Linked DNA regions of Solanum lycopersicum. The protein of the gene in region 2 binds, or shares a complex with, the protein of the main gene of each other region. Links are inferred from orthologs where the notes say so. Each region holds a gene or a part of one and is shown on either strand. Other genes may lie near its edges.

Region 1 (7,868 bases), on a different chromosome or scaffold from region 2:
CAACTCGGTCAATTCTTGTTAAATTTGTTTATTTGTTCTATAATTTTTTAAGTACCTAAAATCAACTTTTTTTTTCTCTTTCTCGTGGCTATAAATGATAGTATCACTCAAAAATAATATTTTTACAAACTTCCTTACGAGTCAATTTGGACGATATATCAATTTAAGATCGAGATGAATTGAACGAGTCAATAATAAATGGATCATTCGAATTCGACGGATCACATCTACCACCGTTAGCCAAAACTCGTGACATTACCCTCAAAGATCGGAGAGACATGAGGTATGTCTACCACAAAAATTACTCTCTTCTTATTCCGAATATCCTCATTCCTAATCTTCAACATTCACATAAGACGTACAGTATTCGGAATAACCTCATTCCGAATCTTCAACATTGACATAAGACAGTACTTGAAACTGAAATCTTACCGCCCAAAGAACCAAATATAATCACTTAAACATCTCATGTGCTTTGAGCATAACACATAAACAAGAAAAGAGTCAAACAATTATAGATCAAAGAGAGCACTGCTGTGCTTTGTTTTTCGCAATTCAGTACAAAGGGTATTATAACTCTATTCTATGAATGAGCAACGTTGCATATCGATGATCAGGTATTTAACGTCAATTACAGAAGGACAAACATTGAAGTTATTGGGAAGGAGAATGGCGAAATACGTCTCATTCTTCAGCTATGATAACTGCAACAGAGATTTAAGACAGAAATGGTACTGAGTAATTTTTCCATTCACTTTGTGCCTCCACCATCAGACATCAGAGATGCAGCAGCTGCAGCTGCAGTAGGAACAACCCCTGTTGAGACACCGGGTTTTGACAAATGAAGGAGCCTGAAAACAAAAGAAACCATTTGTATGTTTTACTAGACCATCATATACAATACCAGGTACGACTAGCCAATTCTTATGGATAACAAACCAAGATAAAGATGCTTACGGTGCAAGATATTCACAGAAGGACGTTACAGATGCAACAACTTCATTGTAATTTTCAGATGAAGCTGGTGCAGTCACTTCAACTAGCTGTATGCCTGGAGTCACAGGCACTGCATCATCGATAGCATGAGGTTTCAACATCTTGTTGATGGATGAAACTGTTACAGTTATCTGGGCACCTCTTTGGAAATGAAATGCAAAACCAACTCTCAGCTGCTCATGGTCTAGCTTGTAGCCAAGTGAATAAAATAAGCGTAATGCATTCTTGCTTATTTTGCTTTCTTGCATTGGTCTCACCAACACTGAGATTTGTTCAGCACCAGCACCTCTCATTGGACCACCAACATGCCTAACAGTCCTATGTTTAATCACATAAAAAAAAAACTTAGGCTTCAAGTGTCCCAATAGATAGGGGCTCAGGACAAACCAGATCTCTTACCATGCAGGTTCTGGCTGCTCAAGATCACATAAGAGCCGTATTTCTGATGCTACTAAGCCTGAGAATGGTAAGCAACAGACCACACGGTTAAAATAACCCAAAGACAAAGAGCAGGAAAGGAGAAAAGAAAAAATCGTGAGAAGGCATAAATGATTTTTAGACAAGATATGATATGTGATTGGAGTATAAACAGTTGATCATGCACGCAATATTTGGTCCATTTTATATCTCTCAATTAGGTGAAAATCAGATATCAATTTGAGTCCACACTTTTGCTCATTTTGTTTAGGTGATGTCGCATGACATGCTAGAAAGCAGTTCGAGAGGATTTGGGCTGTAAACAACTCAAAGATTAGGTGCTCAGGCACCTCACGGTGTTGAAATAGCTCCGAAACAACTTGAAGTACACAATTGTGCAACCTGAGAACCAACATTTTGCAAACACAAGGGAGTGAGTGTGCCTTGCACGCCCTGCTGCTAATTGCACACTACCTAGTGAATGAGAACTGTAAGTGCACAATTTCGGAATTCCAAGTGGTTTGAACCCTAACCTCTCAAGTCCTAAATACTCGTCCTAAGCTAGGATACTTGAGTTTTTGCACGACCCGTGACAGCATAGAGGTGGGAAGAGAGATCCAACACTAGAATTAGAGCTCAAAGGAAGAGATTGACGGTTTGAGGAGTTTTTCTTCTCATATTTTACTCTCATTATAATTTTTGTGATTTTAATACTTCATTATTTGGATTGACCGCTATTATAAAGTAACTTTCTGCTAGTTAGATTTAGATGGATATCATAATTTAACTCTTATAAATTAATTCTCTAACTACAATTATTAATTTGATTCAAACCATTTGTTCTGCAATTCAAACTTCTGATCTAGAGAGGTCACTGGACTCCATTATTTTCCCAATTACGTTTGAATGATCATAGTTTGCTTTTTTTCCTTGTCTAACCAAGAGGAGAAATCAGTCTTCAACATACTTTATGAATTGTGATGATGATATGACAAATGCGTAGACAACCACAAGGGGTCAACATATATTTGTGGGAGCCAAGGTTAATTAATCAACCGTCTTCCATATTTAAGGTATAATAATACCTTGACTATTATAATAAAAAGAAATACACTTAGCCAAGAAGGTTATAGTAGTTAGATGTAATCGAGATATACACCAGTGATTTGGAAGGTGATTAGCTGAAGGTGCTCTGAATTTAAGGTTTTCTATTTCCTTAGATATTACTACAAGCGAGAGGAATAATCAATGTTGAGTGTAATAGAGAGAGGCACTTATAACTTAGAGATCAATATTGATTGGTGGACAGTGAACACCATACACTAATCATAAGTGAAGTCTAGATTCAACTCCTTCTGATTAGAACAAAAAAGTCTATATTCAACTCGTTTAATGAACTGATGGATACTCTTTCACCATCATTCATGTCATAGAACTCTTATTTATATTTCATTTTAGTCAAAAACATTCCGCCTGCTTATCTGATTACTCGAATAGTAATTGAGCAACACTAATTAGGATAGCAGAAACTCAATCCTTGTGGGATCAACATCTGCCATACTATCTTTAACAGGAAACAAGCATTGTTTTAATACTCCGACGTTACCCTCATCAACATGTCAAAGAATCACATGTACATCATCGCAGAGAATCACATCTGTATCATCGACAAAACCATGATAGGCAACACTTTGTTGAAAACAAGGCACTCAACAGTCAACAAGTGAATGAGCAAAAACCATGTGGTCTCGACCTATAAATTAGATGTACTGAAAGTGAATCATACTTGAACCTAATTCCATTCAATAATTGACATGCAGCACCACAGTACAACTAGAATAAGATGGACCATAAAAAAATTATCAGCTATGTACAAACTCAAAGGTGAGAAAACCTCCCTACGAATGCATAGATGGTTGTGAGCATTTGCCTCAGCCACATCAGTACATACATGACCATTGGGTTAGTTCCTAGTTCCATAATAGTTCAAAGAGAAAATACACTTACCTAGGTTAGGGACACTTTTAAGGCACAGTTCATGAATCCTTAAGCTTTGTTTATGTACACCACAAAGCCCTTGAAGCAGAATTTCCAGGGCCTCGACATGCTGCAAGTATGATTAGCACTGTCAAGATCTTTTCAATAATCAATTGCCAAAAACTGTTTCAGTAAATGCCGTAGTATACCTTTTACAAGTAGCATACCTTCTAAAAGATTGAATAAGAAAAAAACGAGAAATAGGGGGAGGTTTTATCATTACTCCAGGAACTTACTTGAGTCTCAATAATTCCCTGAACCACACACTCCATTCGCACTTCAATTTATTCAAACCTACATGCAAAGAACTCTTTAGAACATACCTATGAACCAAAAAGATATTAAGTTTAACAGAAGAGTAACAACGAAAAAGCTAACACCTAACCAAAATCATAACAAAGTTGACACTCTTTGTATGAGAAGTGCATTGCTTGAAGATTAATGGATCTTAATATGAATTTAGTTTTGGATTGAGGCTTAAAGTTTTTGCCCGGATTGCCCCTATTTTGGGGTGGTCTTCAATTATTGCCTTTTCCATCCATAATTAGAAATTTAAGCATTTGGTCATTACTTGTCTTTTGGTACACCCAAATTCTCACCAAGATTTTAAGCATGAAACTTCTAATGATCCAATATGCACCAAAAACTGTCAAACTTGCTCCTTTCATTAGGCTATGACCAAACAACCTTAAGTTTTACTAAGTTTCTTCAAAGAAATAGGTAGTAGTGCTGGAATGGTATCAAGTTTTATCAATGAAGTCACTCCACCATGGGTGATTCTTTTCATGTGGAAAATTAGTCACTTGGACACATAGCTTAACTCCTGTTTGGCAAATATTTTCTACATACGTACAACAACATATATACATTCTATCCTCCCCATAGTCCACTTGTGGGATTTCACAAGGTATGTTGTTGTCATTGTTATATGATGGAGCATGTGCTCAGCAAAAACAACGAATGACTACAAAAATGGAGGAAAGAAAGAGAAAATGGAAAAGGAGAAGAATGGGTGAAGAAAAGACAATACCTTGGACTATATGGTATATGTTGCCTTTGGTTTTTTTCGACTATTTTGGCATCAAAATATGATTTTTCTAGTGCCTGTACAATTTGATCTTTGTTTAACATATCTTTATTGTTATACATCTGTTTTTTCAAAGTTTCTACATCAAACTCCAAATTTTATCATCTATACACACTATTGTATGACATATAAAACACAATCATTTAGCATTGTAGAACTAAACATAAAACATCAGAGCAAAAAATTGAAAGAATTACCTTGAACAGTTGAAGCAATCTCACTTTTTCCCCCAATCTGAGCTGCAAAAATTCAATTAAAAAAAATAGTTCGAAAGCTTAAACAGGCAGACCTAAATTAATCACATAACAAAAAATCAACGATAACAACGAGCCAAAGAAAAAAAAATTCTAGCTAGAAATCTAGGTTTCTATATCAAACAAGGTCCAATTGTAACAAAAAATCCAGTTTTCTACATCAAACAAGGTCCAATTGTAACAAAAAAATCTAGGTTTCTACATCAAACAAGGTCCAATTAATCACATAACAAAAAATCAACAGTAAAAACGAGCCAAAGAGAGATTTTTTCTAGCAAGAAAAATATGTTTCTACGATCAATTGTAAAATTAAGGTTTAGTAATGCAAGCTATGGCTGAGAGAAACCAAAACAATTAGCAGTAACAGAGATAATATGGTGATTTAGTGCTCAATGAAGTGGTCGAAAATATCAAAAAAGTCGAAACTCAAGACATAGGGTTGGAATAATACCTATTGCGAAAAGTGACAAGTATCTCGTAGAATCAATTGAAAATATTAGCGGATTCTTTTCATACGAGTGGATAAATGTCTGTTACGAAAATTTGATTAGTATCTTATATAATTAATTAAAAAATATTAATGGATTCTTTCTATAGGAATGGATAAAATAATTTGATACCTTATACGAAAAATTGATTATTACGAAATTCTTTGATAAAATGATTTTGATACCTTTTACGAAAATTGATAACACGAAATTCTTTCTATATGAATGGATAAAATAATTTGATACTTTTTACGAAAATTAATTATTGCAAAATTCTTTCTATATAAATGAATAAAATGATTTGATTCCTTTTACGAAAAATGATTATTATAGAAAGTGACGAGTATCTCGTAGAATTATTAGAGAAAAGTGGTACTTAGCAGAAGAGAAAATGGTTTGAAAATTTTGGACCCGAATTCGAGTTTAGGCCCATAATTAATTAAGCGACTCAAAGTATAATTTGATAAAATTGTAAGAACCCGATTGAATCTAAACTCAAAATTCAGGGACCAATATTGCAATTTTACATTCCACCTCTTCCAGAAAAAACCCTAAAACCTCGATAACGAAGAAGAAGAAGAAATAATGGGATCGAAAAAATGTCAAGTATGTGATGAAGCACAGTCGAGATACAAGTGTCCCAATTGCTTCATCCCCTTGTAATTATATTTCCATCTTTTTTCATTCTTTGAAATTTATTTGAATTTTAATTCTGGGTTTTGAGTTTGTTTTTAGTTTAAACTGAAGGGGAATGGATATAGATTATTCATACAAAATTCAGAGTAAAAATTTTTATATGTAGAAAAACATCATAATTGTAGCAAATAGAGATATGAATTTGTTGATAAGAAACTTAGGTTTCGTTTGGTAACTAGTTAGAATTATGCAGTTATTTTTTATGTCCGGCATAAAATAATATATAAATTTCTTCGTAGCTTATATATGTATTAGTCATGTAGCTTTCTAAATTGCGGACTTTTATACATTGAAATCATTGCAAAGAACCTTAGGTGTCGTTTGGGAGCCGGTTAGAATTATGCAACTGTCAGTTATCTATCTTATGTCAGGCATAGAATAAATACACAAATTTTTCTCATAACTTATATTTGTATTAGTTATATGCGGATTTCTAAAGTGCATATTTTTATACATAAATTTGTCGCAAAGAACCTTAGGTGTGTTAGGTAGCTGGTTAGAATTATTAGCTGTTTGTTATCTATCTTATGCCTGGCATAAAATAATGCATAAATTTCTCATAACTAAGGTGAATTTCTAAATTGCAGACTTTTATACATGAATTCGTTGCAAAGAACTTTGAAGTGTCGTTTGGTAGCTGGTTAGGATTATGGAGTTGTTAGTTATCTATCTTATGCCTGCGGATTTCTAAATTGCAGACTTTCTTTACATGAATAATTTACTTCTTTAACTAAATACGAAGCGCTGTATAATTAAGTTGCCTCTGTACTAGCTATCAAACGATAGCTAAAGGTTGAACTCATAAAACTTAAGTATTGGATTCCCTGTGAATTCAGTGAACTCAATTTGTTTAGTATTGAGGGTGTAACAGTATTAGTATTTATTGGGTTGTAATTTATGGGTTATGTTACTGGAGATTTGAGTATTGATAAACCTAAAAGTTCTTTTTTTGGTTGTTTTGATCTTGCAGTTGTTCTTTGGTCTGTTTCAAGAAGCATAAAGGTATGTTCTTTATGAACATATTATGTGAATCTAACTATTCTTATGGGTTATACTTGTGGTTTGTGTATTTTATAGTGATAAAAATTGGTCTTTTCATGAGCTTATCTGTGGGTTATGCAGAAATTCCATGCGGGAAACCAGAACCGGAACCCGAATCAGAACCACTTTCTGAGGAAAAACTTGGTAAGGATGGCTTCTCTAATAAAACGGTTGAACTTTTTTTCTTGTTGTATTTTTGTATAACCATTATAAGAATGTGAATGATATGCTTATATTTTTTCTCACTAACTGTAGTTTAAGTTTATTGTCTTCGTTAGTATCTTTTGTTGTCACTTAGCTATCCTTTTTGTCGGTGATGGTACGTTATGTTCAATAACCATTTGCATTTATGGTGATAACTTTGATACCTGACAAGACGTCTCTTTGATGAATGAGTTTCCGGAGAAATCCAAAAGAAAAAAAAGAAGGCAGTCCAGTGCATGAAGCACCCCGTGTTCATGTAGGGTTCAAGGAAGGGCTGCACCCAAGGGGTTAAGTGTAGGCGGCCTAACTTGATGCGGGCATCATTGTTAATTTCATGACTCAAACCCATGACATATAGGTTACATAGAAACAACTTTACCACTGTTCCAAGGTTCCTGTTGTTTCCTAGGGCAATCAGACCTGCTATATGCGTGTAGTTGTAAATGTTGTGTTATTAGACTAGTGCCGCTTCCAACTTCTTCGATGTAGCATCCTCTATTGGGTTAGTTTGCTATCATAGTCCCGCATTTTATTTTTTTTTGAGGATAGTAACACAAATCATAGTCCCGCATTATACATCTTGCTATTGAACTATTTATCATCAGTATCTTGTACATCTTCCTTAGATAAATTAAGAGATCTATAAAA
Region 2 (7,149 bases):
AACCTCATAATTCCATCTTTGATCATGCTGCAGTTGAACAATTCTCCCAAGACCCATACTTTGAGCTGAAGGTTCCTCCTCCACTTTGTTGTGCATATTCACAAATTACAGCACGAGCACAAACATCCCAAGTCTTGACTATGTCTTTTAGAGACATTGGCTGTGAAAGACTTCGCAGGGAGACACTAAACCTTGACTTGGCCTTTGTGGATAGATCTTCATACTCTTTACTGCAGAAGAAAATAGTTGAAACACAGCTTTCAAATGCATCACATAGTAGTTAAAAGTGGAGACTATAAGATTGTATAAGGAGATTTTCGAAACCTAGTTGATAATCTTAACGCAGATCAAAAGGCACTTGTACAAAATCTTTTATGATTGACTATTAGAGAATTCAAATTGTAAGACCTTTTTTCACAAATCAACAAGGTATAATGAATACGGCAAAAAATCAGATCTATTAATGCTATTTTGATTCATATGTTATAGCTGCTCTTACTTTTTTTAATTTATAACGAGGACTATAATTGCTCTTATCAAGAAGATTGCCAAATTTACTCACCTAACTTCAACTGGAAACTTGTCCAACAAAATCGGACAGCAGTTTGGATAATTAACTGGAACGAGCAATCTCAAAGGCTGAATTGGAGACTGCACAGAAGTAAAATACCATCATTCAACCAATGAAACAAAAAATGTAAAAGAGTTAATGACAGATTTTCTTTTTTTTGATAAGTAGTTGATGACACAAGTTCAGTATATGAAGATCAATATCTTACCATCTGCGCTGAAGCATACAGTGCTTTTAAGTTTGGACTCAATGCAACGGCAGTGAAAGAACACTTAACAGTAGTGCCTTCACCACCCTCCGTTGCAGCAGCAAGAGCACTTGGATCAACACCTTCGTCACTAATTTCTACAACAGTGTCGATAAGTTGCCGATTGATTTTCTGTATCTCTTCAACCAGTGCTATATTAACCTACAATAAAGTACTAATTACTGTTATCCACAAGGTAAAGCTGGAGGAACCAAAAGTTGACAAGTAAAGCAATTTCCTTGTCAAAGATCAAAACATCAATTTGAATGCAAGATCAAGGAAATCAGCATCTGGACAAGATAACATTTTTGTGATCAAACACTCTTATCTTACATCAACAAACATTGGATGTCTGATCATTTAAAAAAGAGAGGATGAAATGCAACCATGTGACAAACAAAATAACAAAAATAACTCATTTTCCCATAAATGCAAAGCTTTACGGAATAAAAACACCATTCCAGAATGTTGGTTCACATGCTGCCTAGAAGCAAAGCTGCTTTATATTCTCGAGTCTTATAAAATTATAATGCCTATTGCCCTGTATCCTGCCAAAGCTTGGAATGTTTTCACTTAGCATTTCTGCTTTTCCTGTTGAACAAATTTACTCGTCTGGAAATGCGAAACTCTATCATATGATTAGGTGGGATTCAAGTGATTCACATTGTTTATAGTAACACAAAAAAGGTAGGGTGAATCCAGGCATAAAAAAAAACCCAATATGAAAATGCAAGGACCAAGTGTTTTGGGTCAATCTAAATGCTAAAGAGCCTAGCAATAAATTGAGGAGCAGTTGGGAATTCAAGTCAAAATAGTTCATAGATAGGGTTTTAGTTCACCACTAGAATATATTCACACGCTAGTTGCTACAAAAGGGATAATATTGAAACCATATAGAAAGAAGGCGTATTTTTATTGTTTCCGTATAGATTTGTACTGAGTGCTGCTCAGGCACAGTAAGGCTGAGGGACACTTAAGAGCCGGGAAGTTTGTGGTAGGGATTGGGCATTATCATATGTTGAATAAGTAGACACTGAATGACAGTCTGGTACAAAGACTGAGCAGCCAATTGAAAGTCTCAGGTTGCATATAGCATTCAATAAAATGCATTTGTCTTTATTCTAGACAGTCGTCTTATACTTAGTTCAGATTATTTAGACATACTCACAAGCTGAAAGAGTACTAAAGAAGTAAAACTCATGTCTCGTTCACATAAAGTAATGTTTGATTTTTCCATACAATATTCTATCATAGCCATCAAAGTTTTCAGAACAGAACTATAAGTGGTAGTTTGGGGTTGATGATGTTCCAGTTGCAGAAACATAATCAATAAAAATGAAAGAGCAGGCACAAGGAATGATTGTTAAAAACCACTCTGAGTCGAGTTTCAGTTTGCATGCAAGCTGAAACTTCAAGAAATATTCCACCATATTGCATTTGGTCATTCTACTCTCTCTCTAGCAGTCATGGACAAAGATCAGTTTTTACTTTTTTAACTCTAAAATGCACCTGAATGGACCTCCTTTTTCTTTTAAGAACCAATATAGTCTACCACGGAGCTCTCATGTTTGGACGTGCAGTTTTGTACTTTTATCCTGTAAGTAGGCAGCAGAAAATTACCTCTATTTTAGGTCTTTTGGCATTGGATGTTGCTGTTGACTCTAACTCAGGTGTTTCAGAATAATTCACCTGCCAGAAACTATCATTCAAACTGCTGCTTGACGACACAACGTTGGAAGTTGTATATCGCTTCATTTTCTTTGTTCCTGTAGGTCCATCCTGCGTAAAGTAGTTTCTCGCTTGGAGACGACATTTGGTCATGGCAACCAAATCTTCGCCAACAGCTGCTCTTGACCCATTTCCTGGAGCAGATCCTGCTATTCTATCATTCATACTGACAACTGAATAGATGTCTTGAACTGACGACTGCAATGCTTTGTCAGACATGTTTTTAACCTGAATGTAATAAACAAGTCAAATCAATGAAGACAGATTATTGGGATTAGTGAAGATACAAATTAAGTAGAATGGTATAATACAAACCGCTCTCATCAAGCGATCCAATGGTTGTTCAACACTTGACCTGCCAGGAACAGCAGCTGAGACATTGGCATGTGTACCATCTAGAGGAGTAAACTCAGCAAGCAAAGGTGAGGCTGATATCCCAGGAGTACCAATTGCAAGGGATTGGGCAGGTGCAGAAGCAACAGTAGCTTGCTGATGCATTATATTTCCAGCAGTGGTATGTGATCCAAGGCCAGCACCAACTTTTTCAGAATCTCCCGGCATTGGAGATGGAGCCAAGGGAGTTGAAGGAGAAGGGACAACAAACGGTGAGCTTGCGGATTGGAGAGGAGTCCCAGCTTTTGTAAGAGACGCCAACATATTTTGTTGGTCAATTTGTGGAGAAGGATGTTGGGTAACCTGAGGAGACAGTGCTTGATGGAGTTGAGGTGAAGATATTCCTGGCTTCAATTGGGGATGATGAGATCCAACACGCTGGCCAACTGACTGTTGCTGTAAAACTCCTGGTTTTATCCCCATTTGCTGCCTTATCTTTAGGTCATTAGCATCAGTCATCTGTTGAAGCTGAGACATCTGGTGGGTTGGCAACAGCGTGGTCTGCTGTTGCTTCGCTTGCTGCTGTTGTATTATCTGCTGTCTTTGAAAAAGTTGCTGCTGCATATGCCTATGGTGGTATTGCTGTCTTAATTGCTGGTTCTGCAACATTTGCTGCTCGTGCTGCTTAGGAAGTGACTGTTGCAGGGCGTTTGAATTTTGCTGTAGGGAACCGAGGTTTGCCTGTACGGGGTTTGTTCCACTTTGTGAGCTTAATGAGCTCATGTTAACTTGTTGAGGACTGTTAACAGGATTCTGTTGTAAAGAGCCAGTAGCCACCTGCTGCAGTGAGTTCAATGAATTACCCTGTCCCAAATCCACAGTGGAACCAGGCTGTACTGTATTTATCATGTGCTGCTGGGAGTTGGAAATTGTCGGTACACCAGACAAGGTATTATGTTGCAAGTTGGTGAGATTATTCTGAGGCATTGCTGCCATGGAACCCTGTGAGGGTTGCATCGACGGATTAGATTGACCATCAAGAGATGGTGGTTGCTGAAGCTGCATGGAAGACTGAGGAAGCTGTCCCTGCAGTGGAGAAGAAGAAGGCTTGCTGCGCGGCCTATTGGAACTAAGAAAGAAACTTATGTGCTTCTCAACCGAAGCCAACTTTTCCTTGTGAGAAAGTTGAATATCCTGCTTGTTAAGCCGCAAGAAAAGCACAATGCGTTCCAGCGTGATCTTGAACATCTTGAGCTTTTCAATTTGCTCATTTTGAGGACGCTGAGGAAGAGAATCATGCTTAAAATCAGGAAAAAAAAATCAGTTTAGTCAAAGTCTTGTTTCTTGCCCTTTGCAAACTTTTAAAATTCATGCTTCAAGTACACCTCCCTCCCACAGCAAAGAAAAAGGGAGAAAAACTTAAAACCAACATAAAGAGACAAATAACATAGTGGCCAGGTGCCCAATTCAACAGAATGCTGACTTAAGCGCTCTTAAAATTTAGACAAATCAAGCCCTTGCCCGAAGAATTAGGGAGGCCTTGAACCCTTCCCCAAGGGAACATAAAAGTGGCATCTACATCACAGTATTCACCTAGATATGTGTAAATAGCTCATTTTATGGTGTCCTCCACCTCTACTTTACAATCATACACAACGCTTCAACACAGGCAAACATGCTGCACCATACATAGCTAGTAGAATTGCTCCAAAAATGATAAGAATGGATTAAAATGTTGATGACATACCTGTTGCACTTTAGAAGCAATTTTGTGGTATAGATCATTGAGCTCTGCTAAGTACGACTCCTTCATAGACTTTATCTGCATTAAAAATTTGCATCAGCTCAGAATTGCGCAAATGTCAAGACTGCATTCCCATATGGAGAGGTAATAATTAGATCAACTTTCCGATACAGTAGAGAACAAACTAGAGAATCCTCATGAAAGAACCTTCCAGATAAAAAGTTAAAAGTGAAGTGGAAGCGGAAGACTAAAACTCATTAAAGAATCCATTTTGCATGATTCAACATGTGAATGAAAAAATAAACAACTGAACTTTGCTTCCTTCAGCTTCTTGGTACACGTTTCTGCTCGGTGCTAACAGCAAGGGTCTAGTTCCAAGATGTGATAATAGACCAGCCCAACCAGGAGGAATTAGAATATACTTTTCTATAATTGTCTGGGAGATATAATATTGTTTAGTGTGAAAACATCATTTTTTTTCACTTTACACCTTTATTACCAGTAAAGCAAAATGAGGGTAAACAATGAATAACAACAATGTAGTTTACTTCACAAGTAAAAAGGCATGTTGATGTTATATCTTTATTCTTGGCGAACACAAAATATTCCAACTTACACTTCTAGCTAGTAAACCAAGTCAGGTATTTAAGTACAAAAAGCTAGAGGGACAGACCCATTATCATCCACATTCCAAAACAGGCAACAATGAATTTCTCGTGATATCCCAAAAAACAGAAACAAAAACCGTTACCAACTAATACAGATGATGTGCCTTTTCACAAAGAACAATATTTTCTTAAGCCATATATTCAAGTATATACTTCCTGCATGAATAGATTTACCCTTTAATGTAGCAATTAATTCTTTAGTTTCCATGGAATAAAACAAATTAGGTACATATTATGAGGACCCTGACCCAAACTTACGGACATATCACACCTCGTGAATTCAGACAATACATAACAACATTCAACTATTTCTAATCACTTCATCAAAAAATAAATGTAACCAACCAATTTATTTACTTCACTTCCCAATTATGCCAGTAGAAAGTGTAAGGAAATTCAAGTGCTATAATTTTGGATTGAGAGGGGCTCAAATGAAGCAACATAAGACAACAATAATTCATATAACAGACGCTAATTTGATTAACATTGAGGCGTAATAGTTGTTGTACCTCACTTCTCAATTGAGAATAAATCAATTTCTTACAAGTAAGCTGCAATAACCTTAATTCTATAGTGCTTCTACGAATTGGAACACCGTAAAAGTGCTTTGCGGGAATGGATATGACCATGAATTTGCTGAATACTTATTTTGATAAACCTCCTCTATTAATCCATCAATCACAAAAAATATTTCACAGCATTCAGCTACTTCTTATATTGTTGCAACCAGTCAATTTATCAAAATACAGTTCACTTGTCAATTTCCAAAACAACAATTTCCAGTAATTTCCTCAGTTCTCAACATGCCGTGCAGATAGAAATACCATCGAAAAAAATACCTTTTGGTAAACCTCCTCCTGCCAATCAGCTGCATTTGCATTTCCCGTCTGAGCTGTAGAATCTAAAGATGCTACAAATAAACCAAAAGTTAAGGATAGCACAAAAATATTGAAGGACTTGACTCCTTACAGCATTAAAATTTCAGGCAAATTTTGGGATATGAAAGGTGTTGGATATTTCAGATAAGTATGAATATTATCTAAAATATCCACCACCTTTCATATCCCAAAACTTGCCTGAAAGTACTAGTCATTTTTACATAAAGAAAATGTAAACCAGTGGTTAACATAGTGTAGAAGTCCTATACCTTCACACATATAAGGCATGAAAGGTGGAAATATCTAAGAATGACAAACTGCTACAGAGTGATTTATGAGACCTAATTGAAAGCTTTGATTAAGAAAAATACATACTTGAAGAGGCTTCAGGTGCGACTCTTTGTGATTGATATAGCTGCTTCTGCTGTTCCATTACATTTTGCTGTTGAAGCAAGGGGGCTGATGGTTGAAGCCTCTGTTGCATCTCCCTTTGCAATTGATTCGCCTGTTGCTGCAAACCCAAAGGTGGCTGTAACTGTCCTGGTTGTGATTGACTTTGAGACATCATTTGCTGTTGTGCTGGCTGCGACTGCGATTGTTGACCTTGATTTGGTAACAAGGTTGTAGTACTCTGCAGCATTTGTTGTTGTACAGGAACTTTTGGTTGTTGCATCAAATGAATAGGGTGCTGATTAGATGTCAAGCCAGAGTTACCAGGTTGTTGACTTCCAGACAGCTGTTGTTGCTGGACCCCAGCAATACTACTTTGAGAGCCCAACTGCTGCTGATGCATATTTTGAAAGTTGTTTTGCTGATGCATATAGTTGTTCTGTTGGCCCACTAGCCTCTGCTGCACATCAGGCATTGCATTCTGTTGACTCATCAATTGGTTCTGCTGGAGATTTGCAACATTTGTCTGTTGTGCAATCAGCTGCTGCTGCTGTTGTTGTTGTTGTTGGTGCTGTTGAGCTGGTAAAATT
Region 3 (7,896 bases), on a different chromosome or scaffold from region 2:
TATAAATTTATTTACATTTTAAATAAAATAACCACAAAGGTTACTTATCCAATATTAATGTAGGAAAGGTGCAATTAAAACTATAACATTATAAGATCTTTTGCAATTATTGTCCAAATTTTTCTTAAATAGTGATCATATGTTCATCTTTTCTTGGTTTTTCCAAATGATGTTTAATACCCATATATTTTGGATTAGAAAAAAGAATTTGGCCAGAATAATATTTTATTTTTTAATTATTTTTACTTTTTCAATTTTAATGCTTTTTACCTAAAAATGGAAAAATGATTAGTTTATTTAACATAAAAAAATATATTTTTTTAATTTTCTGAATATTTAGCACTTCTTTTTATATTTACGTTGGGTAAAACTTTATTAAAGTGGGAAAGAGATAGCATTATCTATCAAAAAAGAAATTTATACTCGACAATTGAACTCAAAATATCTGATTAAAAAAAACATTTTATTCATTGCACCTCATTCATTGATGATCAATCCATCCTAAAACAAAAATAGGGTGTGTTTGGTATGCATACGAATATGATTTTTAAATGTTTTGCTCATAATTGTGAGAAATATATAGTTTAAATCTAAACGTTAAAAGGGAATTTAAGAGGTTTAAAAGTTTGAATTTCTCTTACGACGAATGATTCAGATTTTTTAATATTTTTATTTAGTTTAATCATATTTAATATTAACAAAAAGAAAAAAAAGTATTTCGCCAAAAAAAAATCATCATTACATTGTCATGAACCAACAATATAAACCCATTAATAAATAAATAATTAAAATAACGTTATGATAGTACATTTTTTTAATAAAAAAATAATCATGTAAGGTAAAAAAATTCAACATAAAAATAGGAAATGGGATGTGAATAAAACAAGCAACATAGTCATATGAAAAATGCATTGGAAATATAAATGAAAACAGAGTTTTTGTTTTGTTTTATTGAGTCGAACCGAATATTATGTTCTAAAAATAATTTAAATCTTTCATAATTTTTTTATATTATTTGATTAATTTAATTTCTCTGAAAATTGAAACAAAAATCTATTATACAATACTAGCAACAGAAATTAATAAACTTCAACAAATTCAATGAATAGAGAAAATTATATGACACTTTTTATCATTGAATTTAAGGATAATAATATTTTTATGAATTTCTTTTTCTAATTCAAAGTTAACCAAAGAATGAAGAAGTCCTAACTAAATAATAATATCACATAATAATAACTTGCTCATTAAAATATAATTTATATATTATGATTAATATATTAAAAAAAGAAAAAGGAAATAAAACAGACAAAAGACAAATTGGAGAAAAATGTAAGACTGAACACTCTAGATAAATTAAAAAAAAATTACCCTTTCTATTTAAAGTAAATAAAAAAATAATATTTTTTTTTAAAAAAAAAGCTCGTAAACGAAGGTTACAAACTTTAATGTGCTAAAAATGTCTTTAAAATACGTGTTGAAATTAGACGATATTTGACTAACTAATACTAATTAGGTTAACTTAGGGAACAATTTAAAATAAATACATATTTAAATCAAATATTTGACATTAAAGGCACATATAAATTAAGATATTAACAGAGGACGAATTTGTTCAATTTCACTAATTATGAGGATATTTTTGAGATTTTTTCATTTAAATTTTAGTAACATTAGTCGAGAAAACATAATAGAGAAATAAAATGTCATATTATTAGTTGCACAATTAAAAAGTCCAAAGAGTCAAGTTTATTCAATAGTTTAAGTTATAGAAGATTAATGAAATTCTAATTGAATTATAGGTATCAAGTAACAATTATTTTGTCACCAAAATATAATTTTGTAAAAAAAATATTATGATAGTGCAATTTTTTAAAATGAAACACGTAAGATAAGAAAATCCAACATAACAATGAGGACCGAGATCATATAAACGTTACCTCGTTATTGATAAATGCATTGGAAAAATAAATAAAAAATTAAAATTTTGTTTTGTTTTGGATCAAACAAAAAAATTCTGTTTTTTTAATGAAGTTTAATTCCTTCGTATATTTATTTAGTATTATAAATTAAATTCTTTCGAAATAGAAAGAAAATCTACTATACAACACTAGCAATAGAAATTACAAACTTCAACAAATAAAAAAAATTATATGGTACTTTTATTTACAAAATACAATGCAAAAATAAGTAATTTGTATGTTTATTAGGATTTTAAGGATAATAACATCTTTATTGAAACTCTTTTTCTAATTTTAAGTTAATCAAAGAACGAACAAGTCCTAAATAAATAATTATAATAATTTCACATAACAATAACTTGTTCATTAAAATATAAAAAGAAATATAAATTTATATATAACATATTATGATTTATAAACTACAAAAAAGGAAACAACATGAAAAAATCTAATATAACAAAGGGTGGTATAAGACTAAAACAGGAGAATTAATTTTTTAGTCCACTTGCTATTTTTAAAAAGGCAAAGATAAATTGGAGAAAATTTAAGTTAAACTTTATATAAATAAAAAATTTACCTTTTTTATTTGAAGTAAAAAAATAAAACTCCAAATGAATAATAGTATCAAATAACAATAGTTTGTCATTGAAATTTGAATTTAATATAATATTATGATATTTTTTATAAACAGACAGTATTATGATAAAAAAATTTAATGTAAATATGACATTTTATACGAATCAAACGTAATAAGACTTTTTCTTAAAAATTAAAATAAACAATGTGAATATATATTTATCCGTATTAATTAAGCATCTTATTATTTTAACAACTTATATTTCTTTTTATATAAAAATAAATCAATTAAAACATACTTTAAATATTTTTTTATTTTTTATTTTCTTACTTTTAATATATAAAAAATAACATTTTTTTCTTATTTTACCATCGATATTAATTGCTTACTCCTTGCTCATTTTTCAATATCCAAGACTATACATCATTCATCAATTAATATATTCACAACAAAATTATTATTATTATTACGAAATATATTAAAAATAGATAAATAAAAATAAATGAAGAGGATATATTATTTTGTAATTCCATAAAAAAAAACATATATAAAAAAAGAAAACTACTTCAAAGCAAAGAGATAAATCACTTCCTTAACTTGAAAATAAAAATCATTTCCTTTCAGATTTTTCTTTTATTGTTTTTCTATATTATGTCACTATATTTATTTATTTCTTATCATCCTTCTTTGAACTGAACACAGTTAAAAATAGTTTTTCTATGTCAAAGAGATATGAATAAAATCTATATCCATATCATTTCTTTAAACTTTACTTATGAACCTATATCAAATATGTTATTCTCATCGTTATCGTTGTCATCATCAAAGTTATCCTTATGAATTTCATCCATAAAAGAAGTTTTCAAAATCCAATTTCCATTCTATATACATATCAGAATTCGATTAGTTCAAATTTCACACTTATTCATACTTAAAATATATATTTTATATACTGACAATCTCTCGAGTTAAAAATGAAGGAATCAGAACCATCTCACCACGATCCATGCTAATGACCGAAGAAAATTGATCCTTATCACCTACCCCTAACCCCTACCCCCCACCCCCAACAGAGAAAAAACAATATTTTTTCTTCCTCTCTCTCGTGTCTCTTTGAACCAGCACCTTGTATTGCTTTTTTTTTTACAGAGAGAGAAATATAATTAAAATAATAAAAGATAGCTAGAGAGAGAAAATCTTCTATACTTTTTTTTTAACATATATTCTTTTTCTCTGGAAAAATTTCTTTCAATCGGAATAATTTTTTCTAGATTTCTCTTCTTATATCTCACCAAAAACTTAATCGGATTTTTATTTAATTTTTTTAATTTTGTTTTGTCATTTTGGGTTTATAGAGTTTCTATCATATGGATTTTTCCTAAAAAAAAAGCATAAAAATCTGTATCCGATTGCATTTTGCAGAACTGAATCGCCGGTGACACTGATTATTCAGTTTCCGATCATCGGAAAAAGTACCTAATCGGAAAACCAGAGGTTTTTATTGCTAAAAACCTTGTTTCCGATTAGAATTTGTATGATTTTCTTGTGGGTATAATTAAAATCGGATAAAGATTGAATTTGTATATTTGGGTATTGATAAATAATTGATTTTACGATCTGGGTTGATTTGTTTTTGCTCTGAATCATCAGTTATGGCGAAGAGTAGTGGGACTTTGGATAAATGGAGGGACTATTTTCGTACTGCAAATTCGGATATATTTGATATAATTGAGTATGCAGTGATGGTTGCTGCTGTTGATTGTCCAAAGGAATTTAAAATGAGAAGGGATAGAATTGCTGAAATGTTGTTTACATGTAAAGTTACTATGTGTTTTGGTTGTGAGAAAGTTGATTTAGCTGTACCAATTGCTGGTAATGATGATGAAGGAAAAATTAAGAGTAAGGATGAGTTTGGTGGTAGTAAAGAGAGCAAAGTTAACAGTAGGATAGATCATCATGATGTTGAGATGAATGTGAATCAAGTTAGCAATTATAGTTATGGAGAAGCTGAGGCATTAACTGAGGAAATGGAGGAAGAGACTCAGACTTTTGGGGAGGTGATGAGGATCAAAGATGTCATTGATAACAACCAAGCTGAGGTTCATTTCATCTCTATTGAATTTTGGTTATACTGTTGATTTGAAGTATTTTGCTGTGTTTGGATTTGTTCAGTCAAGAATTGGTGGACTCTGTGTATGTGAATTTGAAGTTTGTGTACTTTTGGGGTTGATCAAGAAGAAAATCTTGATAATTGAGCTTAAATGTTGTTAAATTTTTGGAGTTTCTGGTGTTGTATGACATATAACAATGGTTACTTTTATGGTTGAATTTAATGATTTGAAATTTCTGTTCTTGTGGGGTTGATCAGGAAGAAGAATCTTGATAATTGAGCTAATGTTGTAAGATTTTAGAACTTTTGTGGTTGAATTTGATGGTGATTCTATTTTCTCTACTAGTGTCTATAACTGGAAAATCTGATATGAGGTTGTTTTCATGTCACAGTTAGGAAACCTTTATGCTTTTCATTTCCTTTTTGCCCCCTTTTTGTTCCTTTGATCTAGTTGTACAAGGATGTTGCTTTCTTTAGCTTTAAAACAATGTATGAAGCTACTTTTAAACTCTTTATATCTTTTGCTATTTCACTTGCTTGGTAGTTTTGAGCTTTCCTCTAGTAATCGGGTTTTGAGTTATTGTTCTTTTTGACAGTCTGCAGAGTTGTTTGAGTGCTTAAGAAGGCTTCAACTAATGGCTTTGTCTGTGGAGACTTTAAAGGTTTGATCTTTTGACGCTTCCAAAATTTCATCTTCCATTTATTGTGGTTACTGTTTTTTAAATTTATTCTGGATGGACATAATTGATTGCTTCTATATCAGGCCACAGAGATTGGAAAGTCGGTTAATTCTCTCAGAAAGCACAACTCAAAGGATGTTCGGCATCTATCTCGGACATTGATTGAGTAAGTAACTCTTGCTTTATTGCTGAAATAACTGTAAGAATGTCGTCAAAATATGTATGCACAACACAGTTCTAGTAGTCTGATCCGGGGTATCTTTAATGTGGCTGAATTTGTTTTATCGCAAAGGTTTGAACTTTTGTCTTCGAGTTGAACTAACATGTCGTATTGGTGGCTCTGGCAGCTTGCTTTGTCGGTTGTAGTTTTGAAGCTATTATTACTTTTTAACGCTTGCAACTGTTTGTCGCTTACCGTTTATCTTTACCGTAAAATTAAGATTTCATCATAACTCAATCATCAATGCATACTAATGATGGTGATTGCTTCATTTATCGAGTGCTGAATTTGTTTTTATCGCAAAGGTTTGATCTTTTGTCTTTGAGTTGAACTAACATGTCTTTTTGGCGGCTCTGGCAGCTTGCTTTGTCGGTTGTAGTTTTGAGCTATTATTACTTCTTAACGCTTGCCACTGTTTGTCGCTTACCGTTTTTCTTTAATTGATGTTATCTTTAATGAAGATTCCATCATAACTCAATCATCGATGCATACTAATGATGGTCATTGCTTTATTTATCGAGTGCTGAATTTGTTTTTATCGCAAAGGTTTGAACTTTTGTCTACGAGTTAACTAACATGTTGTATTGGCGGCTCTGGCAGCTTGCTTTGTCGGTTGTAGTTTTGAGCTATTATTACTTTTAACGCATGCCACTGTTTGTCGCTTACCATTTTTCTTTAATTGATGTTATCTTTACCGTAAAATGAAGATTACATCATAACTCAATCATCGATGCATACTAATGATGGTCATTGCTTTCTTCATCGAGTGCTTCGCAAAATTTTTGTGACTCACTTTGGTAGTCCCTTTTTATTTATCAGAAGTATATGACTGACCTTGCTCCTTGCCGCTGTAACTTGAGCTCTAGTTTTGCTGTTTTGTATACCTTTTTTTTTATGCAACTTTCTGATCTACTGGTTGGGTACATCGTCTATTTCTATGGAGTTGCTTTAAGTTAGAATTCTTCGCAGCTTATTGCTGATCACATTTTAATGGATCACAGGGATTGGAAGGTCTTGGTAGACGAATGGGTGAATGCTACTGCAGCCTTTGCAGGTTAATTGCTCAAGAGTTTCTTTTGCTTCCGTTTCAATCTTCAGTAAAAAATGAATCTCTCATATGTCGTCATTCGCAATTCTGAGCTGAATTTTGAACTGATTTGTTATTTCTTGCTTAAAGGTAACGAAAGCACTCCAGAGTCTATGAAAGCATCTGTAGTTGATCAAGACGAGGAAGGACTTCCTTCCCCGCCTTTAGATGACTTAGCTTTCTTTTCTGCTCAGACCACTTCAATTGAGTTGTCACAAGTATGATCAGCTTACCCTCTTCTAGAAAAATTGATTATTTTGTTTGGTCGGCTGCCACTGACTTATTTTCTCTTTGTTGTTTGTGAACAATGAAGTTCTTTGATGGCATGGATGATGATGGAAGTGAGTAGAACTTGTGTCCATATTCTTTCAATATCCCTTCGCTATTCGGCTCTTTATTTGGATTCCCCTCTAATAAAGGTATATTGTTCCAATTGGGGATTTATTTCAGATCCTCGAAACAGTGGGGGATTCAATGTGAACCGTGGAAATGGCCGAAAGCCATCACTAGGTAACCAGAACATTCCTCTCCAGAAGAAGCAGTCTGCTGATTGCTTCAATGCTTCTCCCAAAGAGAACAAGGGTGAACAACAAAAGAAACAGGAAGCTGTAATCAAGAAACAAACAACAGTTGCCAAACCAACTAAGCCATCTGGAGGTGAATTTGGGCCTGGAAGACCGACAAAACCAGCCTTGGAGCAGAAGCTCAAGGTTAACGAGATGAACTTCCAGCAGAAATCTGATAAAGGCACAATTCAAAAGAGGCCTGTGGCGTCTCAACAGAATGTGAGTATCTGAAAGAAAGTTATCTTCTGATTCATGTGTAAAGCTCTGATCCCTATCTAATGTGTAATTTCGTCCTATAGAAGCTTAGACATTCAGATGAGGATGCTGTTCAAGTCAAACTCGAGGCGACTAAAAGAAAGCTCCAGGAGCGGTACCAAGAAGCTGAAAAAGGTTGGTCCTCGCTCCTCTTTAAACTTTTTGGATACTTTATCTGGATATATACAATGCGTGTTCGGTTTCCTTATGAAAACATTGAAATGAATTGATTGATGACTGTGAGGTCCCCGATAACGATCTGAATGAATTTTTATAATTGTCCTTCAGCCAAGAGGCAGCGGACCATACAGGTTATGGAGTTGCGTGATATCCCAAAGAAGGGCCCAAATCAAGGTGTTGGCCTTAAGAATGCTCATATGAGACCTGGCAACAATAACAGGCATTGGACAAATGGACGTCGTTGAATTCATTTCAACAGA
Region 4 (7,939 bases), on a different chromosome or scaffold from region 2:
CTTCATTGACCACTAGGTCATAACCTTGGATGCTTTCAAAAAAGAACTTCTATGCCAAAATACTCATTCCATAATGAACATCCAGGAGATGAGAGTTCTCTTTTGAAACTGATAGGTTGCTAAACAATTTTAGACAGGTTGGAATCTTTATCAAGAAGAAAAATCAGACATGTCTGGAAGATTATCTTGACAAAAAGTATGTTTTAAACATTTATACAGTGAATGTGCACAGGAATGTTATACAAGGAATCTTCAAAGCTTCTAGTAGAGAGACTCAAGAGGGTGATACATAGCCTGGTGGATAGGCATCAGATGGCTTTTATCAAGGGCAGACAAATTATGGATGCCATTTTGATAGCTAATGAATGCATAGAGACCAGACAAAGGAGTAATAAGCCAGGAATTGCATGCACGCTGGACATACAAAAAGCCTATGACTTCTTAAACTGGGACTTTCTTATACAAATGTTGGGAAGTATGGGTTTTGGGGCCCGATAAGATGGATAAAACATTGTATCGGCACTGTCAGGTTCTCTATACTTGTAATAGAGTACCCACTGGCTTTTTCCCGAGACAAAGGGTCCTCTTTCCCCATTTTTATTCATCTAAGCTATGGAAGGAATGAGTAACCTCATTAATACAGCAAAGGGAAAAGGATGGATCAAGGGGTTCCAAGCAGGAGAACTTTCTAGTTTAGAGATAACTCATCTATAATATGCAGATGACACATTGGTATTTTGTAGAGCTGAGACAAAACAAATACTGATTTTGAGGGTCATTTTTGTCATTTTTGAAGCTGTATCTAGTCTCCACATTAACTGGGGGAAAAACTTCATCTATCCTATCAATGGTGTGCTTAATACAGAAGTTTTGACCAGAACACTAGGAGGCAAGGTTGGGGAGCTTCCAACTACTTACCTAGGTATGCCTTTGGGAGCTAAAAGCAAGTCCAGAGACATATGGAATGGGGTACATGAGAAATGTGAAAAGAGACTCATTAACTGGAAGAGTTAGTACTTGTCCTTGGGAGGAAGATCGACTTTAATTAACAGTGATTTTACAGTGTGATGGATGCATTACCCTCTTATATGATGACAGTCTTCCTTATGCCTGCCAATGTATCTAATAGCATTGATGCTCTTAGAAGAAATTTCTTATGGCAAGGCAATGAAGATAAGAAGAAGTTTCATCTTTCTTTTTTTTTTTTGAGAATGATACTTTTTTTCCTGTTAAATGGAAAGACCTGATGGTGAGTAAAAACACAGGAGGCCTAGGCATAAGAAATCTAAGGAATCAAAACCAGAGACTAATGATGAAGTGGTTGTGGAAGTTTGCAAATGAAGATAACATGCTCTGGAAAGAGGTCACCAAAATATGGCATGGAAAATATGTGGATGACAAATGATAAGTACTTCATATAAATGCACTGTATGGAGGAAAATCAGAAATCTATGGCCAGTGCTATATCACAGAACCAAGGTAGAAGTGGGAGATGGGTCAAAGACACCCTTCTGGGAGGATAAGTGGAATGGATCTGTCCCTATGAAACAGTTGCATCCTGAATTGTTTACTTTATGCCAACATCAATAGGCCACTGTGGCTACAATGTGGACTGGACAAAGATGGGATTTGTTCTTAAGGAGGAACCTTCAGGATTGGGAGATTGACTAAGTGGCAGAATTTCAAGATTCAGTAAGGTCTTTCAGCAACCTCACTGATAAGAAGGACTTATTAGTTTGGCAAAATGATACCAAAGGTCAATTCTCAGTAAATTCAGTGTATAAGAAACTCAACAAGAATGCTGGACAGGAGATGGAATGGCCATGGAAGATCATCTGGAAACCAAAAGTACCCTACAGAGTAAACTACTTCATGTGGCTATTAACAAAAGAAGCAGTTTTGACTCATGAAAATCTAAAGACAAGAGGCTATCAGTTGGCTTCTAGATGTACTTTATGTGGAGAACATGCTGGGACAATTAACCATCTTTTTTTGCATTGTACATGGCCATAACAATTATGGAGAATGAATGTGCATCTGTCTAAAGGGAATCAGATGGGTGAAACCAGGGAGCATTAAAGGAGTCCTGAGCAGCTGGAATAGAGATGGCAATGCTTCTGACAAGGAGAAGAGATGGAAACTTGTCCCGGCATGTATTTGGTGGACAATCTGGAAAGAGAGAAACAGCAGGAGTTTTGAAAATTGGCAGAATAGCTTACAGAAGATCAAGATGGACTGCTCAGCTCTTTTCTATTTTTGATGTAAACAAGATATATTAACTAGGACGGAAGATATCTTTGATGTGCTAGATTGTTTATAAGCAGCAGTTTTCGACTAAGACTGTTTTATTCTGTAAGTTGTAAAACTTTTGAAGGGGAACTACACTTTTGTTTTAGTATACCTGTGGATATATAGACTAGAGTTACCAGTTTCAGAAAAAAAATCTTCACCACTTTCTACAATGTAGCAAGATAAATAGAGAAACTTCTGTCTTATTCTCTAAAGTTCCCTTCACTGGATGGATTAAAACTAACTCCTCTATTAAGATTTAGGAACAAATGAGGAAGTACTTCAGTCTCTAACATAGTAAACCCCTCTGGTCTCTTGTTAAAGGTACTTAACCTATCGTCTTATGTAACTTATTAGAAAAAAGAAGATGATTACCCCATTGAGGGCATAAGACGCAATGGCAAAGCAAATTTGAAATTTCTCAGATTAGCATGCAACTACACTTACCAGGATGATTCTCTCTCTATCTAGAAAGTGAAATAACTCTAGGAACAAAAATACTGAAACTAAAAAAAACATTGAACTTTCCCTCTGTCGTTCTGTAAGACCATAATGAGACTGCAGTTTCTGTTTTTCTTCTCATATCTTCCATATTCCACTGAAACTTCATTAAAAATAACATATTTTTGACTAATTCATTTTGCATAGGTGAACTACTGCATGTATGAACAAATTATAGGGCCCAAATCCTTATAATATATCTAGAAAGTTAAACTTTAGTGATGATTATATTGGGAGCAGAATGTTCTAATAATAGTATTGGTCGGCAAATGATCGGACTAACAAGTCAACACTTCGATCAGCAACTAGCTATCACTTGAGGCAGTGAGCTCAACGTACAGCAACTTTAGAACTCAATTCAGTGACTTCCACCGCCTCAACAGTTAAACTGCGAAGTTCCAACAAGTTCTCCACTTCCAGCATAACTAAGTAAACCTCTAACAGACTAATCTCACTTTTTCTGCTTTTTTTAAATTCGATCGTATCCTTACTTTAGTTATAAGGAAAAAAAATATTGATATCATCTTCTAAGTCATGTAGCCAGAATTGAGATGTAGCATAAACAAAATTTTAAAAAATCACCTGAAATTGCGGCAAAGTTCAGGAACACTCATTTTATGAAGCAAATTTGACCTAGGTTGTTTGAGCCTAATACAAAAGACGACAGCAGGATTGACAGTATCCTCATCCATGGGATCATCGTCAACAGAAGAGACCTCCTTCTCCGTCACCATAGCCACAATTGCAGCAGGATGATCGTCGTCGTCGTCTTCAATAATGATATCCGGTTTCTCGTGAACCTTATTAGTAGAAGGTTCTAGAGAATTGGTAATCACAGAAGAAGACTCTTCCTCCTTCTCCACTTCAGTATCTTTAGCAACAGGTGGTTGTTGATTGTTCATTTGAATAAACCAAAAAGGCCCAAAAACCCTAATATATAATATAATTATATATGTATACGTATATAGTGAGAGAAAGGCAGAGAGAGGGGTTAGAGAGAGAAGTGGTTGGCCGAAAAAAAGTCTTTGCCAGTTGAAGGCGACAGGAATCACTATGGTGACTGTGTGGGGTTAGGGTTTGAGTGGGGGAGGAGGAATGTGAACGGAGATTCCAGCTAGTGGGGATTTATTCGGCTTTTCATTTTACTATTAAAACTACTACACTGTTATAAGTGTGGAAGCCAAAATCACTGATAACGTTTTTCAATTGGGGCTGAGTGGGGGAGCTTGTGATAAGACGGGGTAACCATTAAATTAACAAACAATACTACTATGATAAAAAGGTTGTTTTATCTTTACTTCAATAAATTATGTTAAATTGAGTAAAAATATTCTCTATTCATTAATTTAGGCAAAAAAAAATATTAGATTAATTACGGAAATCTCACATTTTAATTTACTTATTATTATTATTACTTATCAATTTTATAAATTTTTTATTTTCGCTCATTAAATTAATGTATTCTGCACATTACATTATATCATGTATAAAATGTACTTCGGGCATTATACTAGAGTATCTCGCGCATCAGATTAGTTTATCTCGCACATCAAACTAATGTATCTTACGCATTAGATTAATATATCAGTGGTTATATTATTGTATCCGTTTTGAGAGATTTTTGTAATTATAAACTTTTAAGAAATAGATTATAATTTTGCCTTAATTTTCTGTAATTTGCCCAAAGATATTCATATAGTCAAAACTTTAGTCAAAAAATTACCATATGGCTACTTTTGACTCAAAAATGTTATTTTCTTATTAAACATTCTTTTTTTAAACTTTTCCTTAAAAAAATTGTGTAAACAATATAGAGTAAAATTTTAGGTTTAGCAAACATAAAAATTATATTTGTATGTTATAGTTATAATTATATATGGAACATCAGATTTGTATATATCGTTGACAGGAGTGTCAGATTTTTGTATAAATCGTTGGTAGGCCCTCGTTTTTATAAAGGGCAACTTTCACCTATAGCAAACATAAAATTCATATTTGTTTGCTATAGCAAAATTCGCATTATTGCGTTTTATATCAAACATATATATGTATGATTCGTTATATATACAATTGAAGCAAATTGTATACAACGAGAAAGAGATAAATTATATACAATTTGAATTGTATAAAACGAGAAAGCGAGAACGACAAAATTCAATTGTATACAACGAGAAAGAGATAAATCATATACAATTTGAATTGTATAAAACGAGAAAGTGAGAAAGGCGAAAAAGAGACTTGTGCAGAGAAAATATAATTTAATCGAGTTGTATAAAACGAGAAAGAGAAAAATTATATATAATTTGAATTTGTATACAATGAGAAAGGCAAGGGATACTTGGACAGAAAAATACTTGTATTGTATAATTATAAGTGTATTGGACGAAGATGTATGTATTTGCATGCATTTATACAATCTTCTCTCACTTTATACAAGTAGAAACACAATTTATACAATTCTATTGTATAAAGCGAGTGAGGCGAGCGACAGGAATATGCGAGCGAGAGAGGAGAGAGGTGAGAGAGAATATGAGAGAGATAGAGACTGACAAACAGTTTGTTATGGAACACAAATAAATTAAAGGATAGCTACTATATTTATTTTATATTATTAGTTTGTCATTTTATACAATTATCTCTTTTATAAAAGCATAGCGATTGTATATGTATTTCGGTTAGATAATTATATATATTTAATTATTATATTTATATATCAATAATTGTGTTTGTATATCTGCATAAAATTTGAATTTGTATACAATTAAATCAAAATAAGACAATTGTATATCAAATCTTTCTCTTGCTTTATATAACACAAATTATACATCGTAATTTGTATAATTTAATTTTTATAAAGTGAAAAATAAAGAAAGACAAAGAGAGAGTCAATAGAAGAAGATCGGTAATAACTTTAAGTGAATAGGAGGAAAGGTGCTATTTTGTCAATTCAATTGTTGGTCTTCTTACATATCAAGCCCAACTTGGTCCATGGGAAAATCAAACTGGAAGGCCCAATTGTATATTTGACCCACTAATTTTGTGAACCAGGTTGAGATATCTTGAAGTAACAAAATTGGCATTGTCAAATATCCAAACAATATGGAAGTCAAAATTATTATGCCTTTTGTTGGTCATTCTTTTTCACCAAGAGAAAGCTGTAAAGATTTTTTAGGAAAAAAAAAATTTATCAGAAAATTCGGTCAAAATTTAATTAATGAGATTTATTTTTTATGTAATTTTATTTTTTAAATATTTTTATTATTTTGTTTAGTTTTAATACCTTTTACTAAAAAAAGAAAAAAAATCAGTTTATTTTAAATAAAAAAATATTATAATTTTTAAAATTTTCTGGCCATTTAGTACTCTCGATTTTTTATTGTCATAATTTCATGATTACACGGGTGTTTTGAAGTAATAATAAAATTATTTTTGTTTGATATTTATAAATTGCGAGTTTAAGCCAAGAAATTATTCACTATGTGGCCTTTTACCGCCGCAAGGCTGGCTAATCGAAACAACTAATCAAATGACATTCCCTTAGAAGTTAGAACGCACTTTAGAGACAATGAAGCTAGGATTTTGAGTTAATGATTTTTATATTTTTGTAAAAAGAAAATTATTGAGTTCTTGATAATTTATTTAATGCATATATTAAGTGATTTTTTTTAAAACACGAATATAAGTTTGCATCGAAGACTAAAGATACTGAATTATAATGAATTCGTAGGCAGAAAACTAGCTCTACCACTAATATCATCCTTCCTGATTATCATGTGTGAACATAAAAATTATTTATAAAATATGAAATCGAGAAGATAATGGACTTAAATGTCATATATAAAACTTATTTTTTTTGCTTCTAATAGAAATACTATTTTCTTAATTTTCACTAAACTTGTTTTCCTATCAATTATATTTTTTTTTATCAATTAATCATGGAAAAAATGATAAATAATACAATTTCTTTTTTTTTTCTTCTTTCTCTTGAGCTTTTTCAATCAACATTTAAATTTATCAAGCATGGACAATTATGTGTCTAATTAAATCGAAAATAACAGGACAATCATATGTCTTGTCTGATATAATAAATATGTACAGATTGTCAAATTATACTACTACAAATTGATATTATCTTGATGAAGTCCAAATTATATTTAATTTCGAAAGTTGCTATGGGAACTGATAAAGACAGAATTGGGTAAAAGTCAAATGTGATTTATTTTATTTTATTTAAAAAAAGGAATTACTATTCTCAACTGGAACAAATATTTATGTCTATCTATCAACTGTTTAAATTTGAGACTTGTTAATTAAATTCAAAAATAAATTTAAAAGTCCAAAATGATTGAACTTGAACCCAAATCATCGTTGTCATTTGCCAATGACGCTTTCAAAACTAGGTGGAGAATCATTAATCATCATTAACTAGATTATGCTTAGATCGCTAATGACAAAAATAACTATTTTTATTTTTATTTATTTTTTTTTTTTAAAAAAAAGGTCAAACAAGAAACATGGGATCCATTTGAGAAAAAAAAAATATTTTTTTAATTAATTAATCCAACTTCTGCTTAACTTTTGTTTGGTAAATATTGGGTTTAATCTAGTCAATTATAACTTCTTCCTTGTTTGACAAATATCTAAAACTAGACATAAATGGTCGTGCTAGACATAGGTAGTATTTAGATAGTGAATAAAATTATAATATGATTTTTAAATATTTTGAGTTGTTAATTACTAAAATTTATAGTATTTTTATGTAATTTTTAAATAATATATATTACTTCTCTTACTCCAATGTATAGTACTTAGTTTTTAAATTACATACTATATGTTACTTTTTTGTTTATTGCAATTTTATAATTTATAATATTTTTTACGTAAATTTTTAATAATATATGTTACTTCTCTCGTCCTAATGATGTAGCAAAAATAGAATTTCAAAAGCAATCAAATGTTGTTAATTATTGAAATTTACAAGACTTTCTATGTTGTTTCCAAATTAAATAATGCATGTTATTTTTTTATCCTATTTTACATCACACATAGAGAATAATTTTATGAATCAGTTAATTTTTTATATGTTTTTTTACAAATAATTTAAATTGACAAGTATCATGATTTGTGGTATTTTTTTACACAATTTTTA

What was found.
Region 1: mediator of RNA polymerase II transcription subunit 15a (region 2) and MED18 share a complex: the UniProt entries of both Arabidopsis thaliana proteins name them as parts of the mediator complex. The link is inferred for Solanum lycopersicum from reciprocal best matches to the Arabidopsis thaliana genes NRB4 and AT2G22370.
Region 3: mediator of RNA polymerase II transcription subunit 15a (region 2) and probable mediator of RNA polymerase II transcription subunit 26b share a complex: the UniProt entries of both Arabidopsis thaliana proteins name them as parts of the mediator complex. The link is inferred for Solanum lycopersicum from reciprocal best matches to the Arabidopsis thaliana genes NRB4 and AT5G05140.
Region 4: mediator of RNA polymerase II transcription subunit 15a (region 2) and mediator of RNA polymerase II transcription subunit 16 share a complex: the UniProt entries of both Arabidopsis thaliana proteins name them as parts of the mediator complex. The link is inferred for Solanum lycopersicum from reciprocal best matches to the Arabidopsis thaliana genes NRB4 and SFR6.

The regions. Positions count from the first base shown.
Region 1 is NC_090805.1:1,885,728-1,893,595, forward strand, and holds MED18 (mediator of RNA polymerase II transcription subunit 18), read right to left. Parts: upstream 5,129-7,868; 5' UTR 4,735-5,128; intron 4,555-4,734; exon of another isoform or gene 4,481-4,554; intron 3,745-4,480; 5' UTR 3,723-3,744; coding exon 3,687-3,722; intron 3,521-3,686; coding exon 3,421-3,520; intron 1,454-3,420; coding exon 1,396-1,453; intron 1,315-1,395; coding exon 958-1,314; intron 852-957; coding exon 752-851; 3' UTR 490-751; downstream 1-489. Other genes in the region: ZNHIT (zinc finger HIT-type containing protein), read left to right, coding at 5,865-5,938, 6,946-6,977, 7,098-7,160. UniProt on the Arabidopsis thaliana protein: Component of the Mediator complex, a coactivator involved in the regulated transcription of nearly all RNA polymerase II-dependent genes.
Region 2 is NC_090803.1:3,496,597-3,503,745, reverse strand, and holds part of mediator of RNA polymerase II transcription subunit 15a, read right to left. Parts: coding exon 6,545-7,149; intron 6,202-6,544; coding exon 6,131-6,201; intron 4,702-6,130; coding exon 4,627-4,701; intron 4,179-4,626; coding exon 2,862-4,178; intron 2,775-2,861; coding exon 2,439-2,774; intron 981-2,438; coding exon 780-980; intron 652-779; coding exon 563-651; intron 231-562; coding exon 23-230; 3' UTR 1-22. UniProt on the Arabidopsis thaliana protein: Component of the Mediator complex, a coactivator involved in the regulated transcription of nearly all RNA polymerase II-dependent genes.
Region 3 is NC_090809.1:61,264,242-61,272,137, reverse strand, and holds the start of probable mediator of RNA polymerase II transcription subunit 26b, read left to right. Parts: upstream 1-3,223; 5' UTR 3,224-4,190; coding exon 4,191-4,637; intron 4,638-5,244; coding exon 5,245-5,310; intron 5,311-5,411; coding exon 5,412-5,494; intron 5,495-6,549; coding exon 6,550-6,602; intron 6,603-6,725; coding exon 6,726-6,853; intron 6,854-6,948; coding exon 6,949-6,976; intron 6,977-7,085; coding exon 7,086-7,420; intron 7,421-7,500; coding exon 7,501-7,591; intron 7,592-7,744; coding exon 7,745-7,881; 3' UTR 7,882-7,896. UniProt on the Arabidopsis thaliana protein: Component of the Mediator complex, a coactivator involved in the regulated transcription of nearly all RNA polymerase II-dependent genes.
Region 4 is NC_090801.1:59,380,781-59,388,719, forward strand, and holds the start of mediator of RNA polymerase II transcription subunit 16, read right to left. Parts: upstream 4,024-7,939; 5' UTR 3,693-4,023; coding exon 3,373-3,692; intron 1-3,372. UniProt on the Arabidopsis thaliana protein: Component of the Mediator complex, a coactivator involved in the regulated transcription of nearly all RNA polymerase II-dependent genes.